3 linked regions of the Solanum lycopersicum genome follow. The protein of the gene in region 3 interacts with the protein of the main gene of each other region in a pairwise test. Links are inferred from orthologs where the notes say so. Each region holds a gene or a part of one and is shown on either strand. Other genes may lie near its edges.

Evidence for each region.
Region 1: the proteins of FKBP12-interacting protein of 37 kDa (region 3) and FKBP12 interact in binary tests that used the Arabidopsis thaliana proteins (3 or more experiments, as listed by UniProt). The link is inferred for Solanum lycopersicum from reciprocal best matches to the Arabidopsis thaliana genes FIP37 and FKBP12.
Region 2: the proteins of FKBP12-interacting protein of 37 kDa (region 3) and N6-adenosine-methyltransferase MT-A70-like interact in binary tests that used the Arabidopsis thaliana proteins (3 or more experiments, as listed by UniProt). The link is inferred for Solanum lycopersicum from reciprocal best matches to the Arabidopsis thaliana genes FIP37 and MTA.

Annotation. Positions count from the first base shown.
Region 1 is NC_090800.1:89,806,821-89,810,576, reverse strand, and holds FKBP12 (peptidyl-prolyl isomerase FKBP12), read left to right. Parts: upstream 1-1,340; 5' UTR 1,341-1,355; coding exon 1,356-1,443; intron 1,444-1,648; coding exon 1,649-1,682; intron 1,683-1,767; coding exon 1,768-1,829; intron 1,830-2,613; coding exon 2,614-2,666; intron 2,667-3,219; coding exon 3,220-3,321; 3' UTR 3,322-3,558; downstream 3,559-3,756. UniProt on the Arabidopsis thaliana protein: PPIases accelerate the folding of proteins. It catalyzes the cis-trans isomerization of proline imidic peptide bonds in oligopeptides. Mediates rapamycin inactivation of TOR protein kinase activity.
Region 2 is NC_090807.1:56,953,838-56,957,593, forward strand, and holds the start of N6-adenosine-methyltransferase MT-A70-like, read left to right. Parts: upstream 1-923; 5' UTR 924-1,165; coding exon 1,166-2,266; intron 2,267-2,742; coding exon 2,743-2,841; intron 2,842-3,377; coding exon 3,378-3,461; intron 3,462-3,546; coding exon 3,547-3,756. UniProt on the Arabidopsis thaliana protein: Catalytic subunit of the N6-methyltransferase complex, a multiprotein complex that mediates N6-methyladenosine (m6A) methylation at the 5'-[AG]GAC-3' consensus sites of some mRNAs.
Region 3 is NC_090802.1:59,711,147-59,714,902, reverse strand, and holds the start of FKBP12-interacting protein of 37 kDa, read left to right. Parts: upstream 1-976; 5' UTR 977-1,178; coding exon 1,179-1,205; intron 1,206-1,306; coding exon 1,307-1,349; intron 1,350-1,423; coding exon 1,424-1,485; intron 1,486-1,799; coding exon 1,800-1,870; intron 1,871-1,969; coding exon 1,970-2,006; intron 2,007-2,660; exon of another isoform or gene 2,661-2,812; coding exon of another isoform or gene 2,813-2,854; intron 2,855-3,756. Other genes in the region: notchless protein homolog, read left to right, coding at 1-61. UniProt on the Arabidopsis thaliana protein: Probable regulatory subunit of the N6-methyltransferase complex, a multiprotein complex that mediates N6-methyladenosine (m6A) methylation at the 5'-[AG]GAC-3' consensus sites of some mRNAs.

The DNA.
Region 1 (3,756 bases), on a different chromosome or scaffold from region 3:
TTTTTGTGTTACATATTTTCTCATAAATATATAAATTTCAGAAGTTGTAAAATTATTAAATAGCCACAATTGTTTATTCAATCTTATCAAATAAAAAAATAAAATTGCATAATAAAGTATTACAAAGGTATTTGTTCTACACTTAAATAATTGTTTCATCTAACTTTAATTTAATAAAAAAAATTGAACATAAATTGTTGTGTAGTAGTTTTTAATATAATCTTCCCACATAGTACGAACAATTTCATCAAGTTGAACTTGCATTTCTCGATCATGTGACTTCAACCAATACATAAATTCTGAATAATTCATACATTATGTTCTGAAGTTTAGAAAGATTACGTAAAGAAATCATTTCAAATATATTAAATCCAACTATTTAGAGAGTTTTTAATAAAATATTGAGGGTATATTATGTATACAATGTTCACATTTTATACCATGTATAAAAATGCTGGAAATAATGTGATATTATGTAGCTGATTAGTTATTAAAATAAAAAATATATAATTACTTTATTGGAAATTTTTGAAGTTGGAGTAGTATTTGTTTTTTTCAAAGAATATTTAGAATTTGAATATATTTTGTATGAATATAATTTAAACCCTCAATTTCAAAAAATTGAAAAGAACCGCCTAATTTGATTAGCTTAACCATGTGAACATATATTCATTTGACTTGACACATTTTTAATTGCGACGTGAGTTTCTTAAAAAAAAAAAATAGACAAAAGGATACATCTTGCAACTTTTTTAATAATTCAGGATTTTTTTCACTTATTTAATAAAAGGATATACTTTAGGTTTAGTCATATGATAGGGATAATTTCGGCCAAAAACTCATACAAAAGAAGAAGTAAAAAAAGAGGAAAAATACACAATTACCCCCTAAACTATGATCGAAATCCAGAGACACAATTAAACTAAACTAAGGTCTTATTACCCCTTGAACTTATTTTTTTTTTGTGATTTTATATACTTTTTGTCATACGTGGCACACTCCGTGCATCCACACAATTGACGCGTGAGAGATATATAGATATCACGTAAGTAAAAAAAATACAAAAAATTAAAAACAATACAAATTTAAAGACAATAAGACCTTAATTTATCGCATTTTTTCAAAAAAAAAAAAAAAAGTAAGCAATTTTTATTCTCCTCGAACAAGCTAGAAATCCGCCCATATATAAAAAAAAATAAAATGTAAAAGGGTATAAAAAGGAAAGTAACGAAGATATTCCGCTGCCGCACGCGAGAATCACGTGACACTGACCCTTGAAATTGACAAGCACTACAGTTTCAGTCATCAAACCCTAAATCAAGAAGTCGGAGATTTCATCAAAATCACCGGAAAAAATGGGAGTGGAGAAGGAAGTTATCAGAGCCGGAAATGGCCCCAAACCGCAGCCTGGTCAAACTGTTACCGTCCACTGCACTGGTTACGGTGAGTCCTCTTTCTTTTTTCGCCAAAGAAAAAGATCCATTTTCTTTTCACAAGGGATTAATCGCATCAAACTAGTTAATCTCTAATTCAGTCTGTTTTTATTCTTTATAGATGAATCGGATCTTTAATATAGTTTGATTTTTAGTAAGTACAGTTTTTAGTAGTATTTTTGGTTAATATTGTTTTTATTGTTCTATGCCTGCAGGGAAAGATAGAGACCTGAGTCAGAAGTTCTGGAGGTAAACTGTTTTTTTTTATTTATTTATGAAGTTTGATGCAGGGTTATGTGTAGTATATATCTTTGCTTAATTTTACGTGTAACAGCACTAAGGATCCAGGCCAGCAGCCTTTCTCTTTCAAGATCGGCCAAGGCAAAGTTATCAAAGGTACTTACGACTCCTGTATATCTCGATTTATATGATTTGTTTTTCCTAGTTTATGCGTTAGTATGTTATTATAAGTAATGCGTGATAATGTATTCAATTGGACAATTAATTTGGAAAATTTAGTAGTCTTATATTGGACTAACCATGAATGGAACTTATAGTAGTGATCCCACTACTTTTCTTATTGATTTCAATTGTCATTTTAAATTTCTCTCAAACCCAATTTCTGACCATAGAAGTGGTCCGGAAGCTTATAGCTCTTATACTGGACAGCTTTTAGTGCAAGAGAACTTACACTTTTGTAAAGCAAACAAAAGCTTACTACGTTGGTGGCCAAAGAGGTCTAAATGTGACATAGGTGGATTCATGTAGAGTTATAGATTTGTTGGCAAATGATGGTAGGTCTTTAAGTTGAGACAACCAACTTGCTATCATTCTAGAAAAGACACTATGGAAGGAGCTAAGATATCTTTTCCCTTGAAGCACACATATAGTTCAGCTGATTCTTCGGTCTCTTGAGTGATACCAGATTAATGTTGGATAAACTAACACTTCTTTCTCAAAGCAAAAGCTCATAGCTGACTTACGAAGTAAAATTTGGCTGTGGTGAACTTTTGTAGTGGCATTTTTAGATCCTTCTATATTTGTCAGACATGTGCCCATTATGAACAAATCCCCACCTCCTTCTGGGGTCTTCAAAGGGAGAAACTTAAGAACGCTGTAGACCATAGTGACAGTTCTCTCAGCTTGCATTTCTTTTATTCTTATGTCTCCTTATTTACAGGATGGGATGAAGGAGTACTGGGCATGCAATTGGGAGAAGTTGCTCGATTAACGGTAAATGCCTTCTCTTTTCTTTTGATTCTCAGTTGAAGTCAAATCAATCACGGAGTTAATTATGTTTGTGTTATCCATGTTATGAAGTTTAGACTCCCATTGAGTTATGGGTTTATAGTCAGAAAACTAAGAGTCAATTGGAAAATAAGGAGGTTGATATCTCCTAGTTATTTTACATTGTTGAGTTTTGATTTATTTTCACTTCACTGAAATGTCTCTATCCTTTTGGCTGACTGGCTTATAGGAAGACATTATGATGTTTTCTACAATTGACACTCTAAAGTGGATTGATGGTTTCAGATAACTCCCCCTAATTGTCGTTTTTCAATTTCTGCCTCGTATTACTGCCCATTTCATGGTCACATCATCTCCATCTTTTTGATGGGATTGGCTGCAAAGTTTATAATGGAATGGCGATGATACAATAATTGCATTCTTCCTAAGAGTATTAATCTTACTATAATTGTGTACATATATGAAAAAAGTTTCTAGGCTTTTATGTATTAAGATCTTCTATAAGGAGAGGTTTAAACTGATGTCTTCAATTTTGCAGTGCACCCCTGATTATGCTTATGGTGCTGGTGGATTTCCAGCATGGGGTATTCAGCCCAACTCAGTTCTGGTTTTTGAGATTGAAGTCCTAGGTGCACAATGAGCAATTTGCTAACATTTGGGCATTCCCGATGGAGCTGTTGTACACTATACAGTAGACAGCTTGAGGGTATCAGAACTGCTCATGTACTCTTTTGCTCTAATGCAACTTGTTGAAACAGATTAAGGCAATAATAAATGCTTTGAAGCTTTTGTCTGGATAATGGTCTTCTATGAGACTACTAATTTGCCTTGCAAGACAAATTAGTTAGTAATGAAATATAATATGGAATGGATGTAAGAGTTTGTATGGTCAACTCCAACTAATATGGGGTACTATTCTCCTTGTCGCATTCTATATGCTTGCCTATTGCCTTATGTATAATAGCCTAATGTTTCATCACAAAAATTGATAGCTTAAAAGAATTGGTGGAAACTCAATTTGACAAAACTAGGAGGAAACGATGGGAATGAGAATGTGAGTGTGATTGTCTTTGTG
Region 2 (3,756 bases), on a different chromosome or scaffold from region 3:
GGTCAACTCCAAACAACCATAACTCCTAACTTTGGATGAGTTAGGTCCTTTATCAGACCTTAAAGGCTTAATACTAAGATTAAATTGATTTTTTTAACTAAGCTTTGAATTGTTTAAGTATATCAAATACTTTACTCTTTAATCTGATGAAATAAACCGAACACATTCTAGTGTAGTCATCAATAAAGAGGAGAAAGTATGTGTTATCACTTAATGAATTTGTTTTCATTTGGCCACAAACATCCGTACGAATGATCTGAAGTTTCTGATTAGCTCTCCATTCTTGATTTACTTCAAATGACAATTTTGTTTGCTTTTCCTAGTAGGTTTCACAAACTTGAGCTTTAGAAAGAAATTGAGGCATATTTTTCACTAACTTTTTCATTCTCATATCGAAAAGACTAAACCTTTTGTGTCATATGTTTGTACATGTTTGCGAAGTTAGGAATTGTTTGGTTAGAAACAAGTTATCTCAAGAAAAGTTATCCTGAGATTAGCTATCCTAAAATAACTTATCCCACCATGTATATGTGATAACTTATCCAATTACTATGATATAAATAGTGAGATAAGTTATTCCGAACATGACAACCAAACAAGATATAAAATTTTTATTCCATTTCTATTTTCTCATCTCATCACTACTTATTGTTATTCCTACACCATACGATCCCTAAAAGTATAAGCCTGATCAATTATTTTCTCCCAATCAACTGAAAAATGTTATGTTGATCATCTTAAAATAAAATAATTCTACTTCAAAAGGATTAGAAACAACACATTCACGATTTTTAAAATGTAAAAAATAATTATTTTCAAGCATTTGTTGGTCAATAAATTGTGAATCATATTCGATAATCGGTTGACCCATTAAGAAAACATTTCAAATCAATAAGAATCAATAATTTGACAACAAAAAAATCAAAAATATTATTGAAATCACTAAACTAACAATTCATTATCTATAAATTAATAGTAACTTTTTTGTAATTCAATTATTAATTTCGATTCGATTTTGAACTGGGGTAATAAGGAAATTGGATGAGGTGTATGTAGAGCAATATTATATCCCTCTCTTTCCTTCAACATAAAAACCCTCGCACAAAAACCCTTCCTCCACTGATAAACCTCTCGATCTGCAGCTAAGATTCAAGAAACACCAACGATGGAAACTCATGCTGACGGCACAGATGAAATTGCCGCCGTGGAGGAGCTACGGCAACAGCACGAAACCCGTATACAGACCCTACACAACGCTCAATTGGAACTCATCGCCTCACTGCAAAACATAGTTCCTGATATAGTCTCTTCACTCGACCTCTCTCTTAAGACCATTTCAGCCTTCAATGGAAAACCCTTCACCCCTTTACCCAGCCCACTCCCTAATGCCCCCAACCATAACCCTAATTTACTCGTCCCAAAGATCAATTCCTGTTCTGGTAAACGTGTTTCAGAACTTTCTAGAAGTGGTAGTGAGAAGGAGAAAATGGTAATTGATGAATGTGGGGGACCTTTGTCGGTTGTAAGGGCGATGGTTGCAGTTTGTTTGTTAGAGAGAGTGCCGTTTACTGCTATTGATTCGTCTACTTTGTTAAGGAAGTTAGAGAATGATCAGTCGCATACGGCTGCTGAAAAGGCAGCGATTAGGGAGCTCGGAGGCGAGTCGGGGGCGATAGTGGCAGTGGAAATGGCATTGAAATCGATGGCGGAGGATAATGGTTGTGTAGAATTGGAGAATTTTGTGGTTAGCGGGAAATCTAGGATTATGGTGTTGAATATTGATAGAACTAGGCTATTGAAAGAATTGCCGGAAAGTAAGCAGACTGAGGGAAGTGTTGGTGGAGGAAACCGGAATAATCAGGAAATAATGAAAAGAGGGATTGATAATGGAGGTGCTTTTGGAATGGGAAGGGGAATGAGTGAAATGTGGGAGCATCCACATATGCAGGGGATGACAGCTATGTTTCCCGGGAATATGGGCGGTCCAAGAGGAGGGCATAGAGGAATGGTGGGTATGATGGGGATGCCGAGAGGTGTTGGTGTTCCACCTCCTATGCATAGACCACCAATGGGACCAAATGGGCAAATAGGAGGAGGAGGGAATTCTATTGCTTTAAAACCTAGGTCAGAAGAAGATGAGCTGAAGGATTTAGAGAAAATGTTGAACAAGAAAAGTTTTAAGGAAATGCAGAAATCGAAAACCGGAGAGGAGTTATTGGACCTTATTCATCGTCCGACTGCAAAGGAATCTGCCGTCGCTGCAAAGGTATTGGACAATCCCACCCATCACAATTTTCTGTTCCCCATTCAAAAACTTTCTGTTTGATAATTTCTCCTCGCAGATATAATGAACTGATTACATTTTGTATTTTTTTTGGTACAATGCAACAACATAACCATAGGGGTTTGGGGAGGGTAGGATGTAGTCAGACCTTACCTACCTTGTGTGGAGGTAAAGACGCATCTTTGCTACAATGCAATTACGGAAATAAGTGAAATTTGCTAAGTCACAACTATTTTATATTTCTACTTCCATTGCGGTGTGCCAAGTTAATTTCTTCTTTGCTCTAACATTGTCTTTTTTGCATTTTTAGTTGTATATAATCCTCTATCGTCGTTGTTTGAATTTTGTTTGTTATTATGCTTCACATGTTTTCTCGTCTCTTGTTTCTTTGCTAAAGCTTTTGTAGTGTATTTTTTCATGGTAATTGATACCACCTTTTTATTTAAATTGTATTTTAGTTCAAAAGCAAAGGTGGTTCCCAGGTGAAGGAATATTGTTCAGCTTTAACAAAGGAAGATTGTCGACGCCAAGCTGGTTCCTACATTGCTTGTGATAAGGTTAGACCAAGTGATTTCTGGTACTTATGACACTCGAAGCTTTTAAGTTGTTACCATTTGTTTTGAACATAGATAGTACTCCGAACCAATAATGAAGATTGTAGATGGTGTTAATCACAATGTTATTGAAAGGTATTGCTTTGTCGATTAAAATGATGCAAAGCGAGGGGTCGTTGCTTCATGGGCCAATCTATGTGTTTCTGTTATGTGTCTGCTTCAAACAGTCTGCATAAAGTGACCCAACAAGAAATAGTTTATTCTTTGATTCTCAACTTTGAGGAGTTGGATTAAATCAACATTGTTGCATATCGGATGTCAAAATCAGTTATTTTATTGAATTTTGATTATCATTATACTAAATTCATATATGTATGATTTTAGGTTTCTGTGAACTGTGCACTTATTTTCTTGCTTTTCACTTCAAACCCTATGGATCTTGACATATTTTTGTGTTTTTTTTTCACTTTTAAAGCACTAGTTAATCATTACCTTTATATTCGGAGGGATATGGTAACTTTATTATGATGCATTTTTAGGTTCATTTTCGGCGAATAATTGCTGTGCATACTGATGTCAACTTGGGTGATTGCTCTTTTCTTGATACTTGCCGTCACATGAAGGTGATTTCCCTATCTAAAATGTTTACATAAGGATTTGGTTATATCTTCTGGAAATACATAGTACTTACACTCATTTAATTCGCAGACATGCAAGTATGTACATTATGAGCTTGACTCGACGCCAGATGTATCACCCCTGATGATGGGAGCATCTACCTTGGCCCCTCCCAAGCCTTTGAAACCTCAGCGTGCTCATTACTGTTCAGAAGTAGAGCTTGGTGAACCACAATGGATTAATTGTGACATACGGTCATTTAGAATGGATATTTTAGGGCAGTTTGGAGTTATAATGGCT
Region 3 (3,756 bases):
AGACGGCGAAAAAGTAGCATCTGGTGGTAAAGATAGAGTTCTGAAGCTATGGATGGGATAGAAACAAGGGTGACTCCACCCCTATACCAATGAAGCTCTTGTTTTTAGCCTGGAAAATTCAAGGCCCCTACTTTTATTTATTAGATATATAAAATATGTAATTCAAGTAGTAATCGCCATTCTTATTATTATTAATATTAATGATATACGTGAGCTTTTTACCAGCCATTAATCACATAATTCTTACTTTATATTGTATTTTAGGGATTTGGTTGTGGTAATTATAGATGAGTGGTAGATAGTTAAGGTCATAATTCCTCTTGTTTTCTCCGGAACTTTAATTTAATCAATTTGTTTTTAAGTTTGGCTATAAAGAGTTTCTTCGTACAGTGTCTCACAATAGAGTTGTTTCAGTCTAATCAAATCGTGACAATCTAGATTGGAATTGAAAGTGTTAAAAGAGAAAAATACAAGCTGGAATATCAACTTCACTTATCGAGTTCCAATTGCCCCTTTTAACGTTAATTTTCGAGTTAAAAATGCCCAACAACTTTTGATAACCCAATTATTTTGGATTAATAAAAAAAATTATCAGATTATAACATACTTGTAACAAAGTTCTGTACATTTTTGAATTTTTAAAGAAGGATTCAAGGTTATCATAGTATTTTTTCTCTCCTCCAATTGTCGTCTCTAGCAAATTTTAATTTTTACAACTAAAAAGAATGTCAAAAATCTATACACATTGAATTCACATTTATATATTTTAAAGTGAAAAAAAACTTGACTTAGCTTTTGTTTTTCCTAATTTTTATTGTTAAAAAAGTGTGTCATTATTTTCTCTATGTATAGTTTTTTTCATCATATTTTGAAGCCAAAAAATGATCTAACCTACCATGGTTAAAGCAATGTTTTAATGCCATATTAATTTCGAAATAATAATATAAAATAGTAATAAGGTATAAAAAAGAATTTTAGATTATGTTGCTCAAATTAGGTCAATTGATTTTATTTGTCTAATGAAATAAATTCGGTTTTACAAACTAGGAATTAAACCCACCCGGATGTGACAAAACATTTTTCTTCCTTCCCCGCTTTCTTTTCACTGAAGCCTCCTCATTGTTCAACAAATTTAGGGTTCCAAATTGAACTTTAAGCTTGTTGAATTGATTCTATCAATGGCGTCTCATAATCACATGGACGATGTAAGTTCTTTTTTTCCTTTTTTATTTCTAGTTGTTGTTTATAACTTGTACTTCCTTTATACTATAATGTTGAAGAATTTTCGTTTTGGGGGAATTCTCAGGACCTCGATTTTGGTGGAGATTTCGCCGCCACTGGACGTTCAGGTTTGCTAATTCTCCGCCATTGTCCTTTTTACTGCAAGTTTTTGAGTATATTATTTGATTGCAAGTGATTTTAGGTACCAAAAGAAGCTTTGGAGACCTTGACGATGATGAGGACGATATTTTTGGCTCTAAAAAGGTGTTTTGTTTACCTATTCTTATTTAAGTTTGTCTTGTAAACCATACTTGCAAACCAATCATGGGATACAAGGTTAGTGGGTTGCTCATAAGCACTCTCTTAGTTAAAATTTATGTGATATGCTTCTTTTGAGACATCATAAATTGTTTAACATAATTAAATGCACTTTTTGATACTGTCAAGGATTTAAATCCTTCAAGAATATTTAACTTGACTGATCTGTGATTCTTTTCAACTAGACTAATAGGAGTCATAAGGACTATTAGCATGTCAATCTCAAGTCAATATTTATCATTTATATGTTTCAATACTAGGGTAATTTGTTGAAAGTAGAAGAAACAGCACCTGGTGCAGCAACAGGGATGATCTTGTCTCTTCGCGAAAGGTATGGTAGTTGGATGCTTGTTGCACATCTGTGAACATTTTTGGATTTAATTGCTTATGTTTTCACTTTCTCACTGTCTTTTGTGATTCGTTATTGCAGTCTACAGGACTGTAAGGATAACCTAGCATCAACTCAGGTGCTTATCATCTTTCATTTTTGTTTTTTGTTTTCCATGGTTATACCCAAAATTATCTGTCATCCTCTTTTTCAGCATTATGTATTCATGCTGTATGATTTTTTAAAATATTATATTAATTATCAGAGCCTAGAAGTTTAGATGTTCTATTTTTTTTTTTACTATGGTATGTTGGATTATAATTTTGTTTTTGTTTTTATTAAGAATAGTATGCTGGATTATCTTACTTTCTCTCTGTTAATATTCAATGTTTATATAGGGTTTTTAATTTTTTTTTTCCTGAAGGTCCATTTAACTGATGGAGGAGTTTAGGCAAGACTCAACCTGTATATGTACCAAAAATAATAATTACACGGAGGAGGGCATAAACATTAGCCTCTGTAGCATTGTGAAGGTTGATAAAATTAATCTTTAAAGACATTTGAGTACAACAAAAAAGAGTATTGTGTTGAGTATCATTGCTACTGATGGTATGAGACTCATCTAAGTAGCTAGATAATATATACCTATTGCTAATCACCAAAAAAGGCTTATAATAGTCAGCAGACATCAATGGCGAACTTGTTCTTCTTAAACCTGGAATTTGGGAGTCCATCAAATTCAATCTCCAATGAAGCTCTAACCTTTAAAGGTACGAAAGTAGTTTCAGTGAAGATTAGAAAAGTTTTAGATTCTTCTCCATGTTAGCAAGGAGGTCAGCAGTAGAGTTGCCTTCTGTAAAATTATGCTTAAAAACAAAGTTTCCACACGAGATGAATTAGCTATTTTCTCAGTAATCTGCTTGATTTTCCAGGGTCCCATTGAGAATGTCGATAATAAGGAGAGAATCAGATTCAACTATAACATTAGTAAGTCCAGCCTCCAACAAATGTTCACCCCTTTCAACATGGCCTTGGCTTCAGCCATATTGTTACTGCAATGCCCATAGTAATCAACAAAGGCCTGAATCATAGCCCCTGTATGATCCCTGATTATAGCACCCACCTGCTGATCCCGGAATTCCCTTGCTACAACCATTAACATTGAATTTTATCCAAAAATGAGAAGGTTTAATCGAACAAACAGCCTTTGAATGATGATTGGTTTCACCTTATCTATCATATAACAATTTCCAATCCAAGAATCAGGGAGGGTTAATTTGGGAAATTGATGAGGCTGTTTAACTTGCTGAATGATGTACCAAGTTGGCATCATTTTATCATCAAATCTGGCTTACGTCTATTTTTCCAAATTTCCCAACATATTGCAATTGGAAGGAACTTTAGTATGCAGTCATGAACCTCATTCTTACCTTTCACATTCCACCAGTTAATAGCTGACATCCTAAGTTGTCCAAGGACTTGTTTAATACCACATGAGTTACAGAAGTAAGCACATATAGTATCTTTCATGGGAAGTTGTTTTGTGTTTTCTCTGATACTTCACTCAAATCATTCAAAAATTCATTTTAGATGCTTTTGTGGTATAGGATAAAATCTCTTTCTTCCCTTGCTTTTCAGATAATAATATGCTTTAACTAACATGTTGGCTGGATGGTGATGATTTACTGATTACCTATCTTGCATCAGCATAAATTTATCTTCCCTTTCCAACCTTCGTGTTGACTCTGCTACTCATGTCTTAAAATGTCCGAGGGGTTAATATGTCTAATTTCACAGTTTGTAATCTTCCTTTGATGTTTTACAGCCCTTCCTTGATTCTTATGCATTCACTAGTTTGTTCAAACTTTGTGTGGGGGCCTTTTGGAACT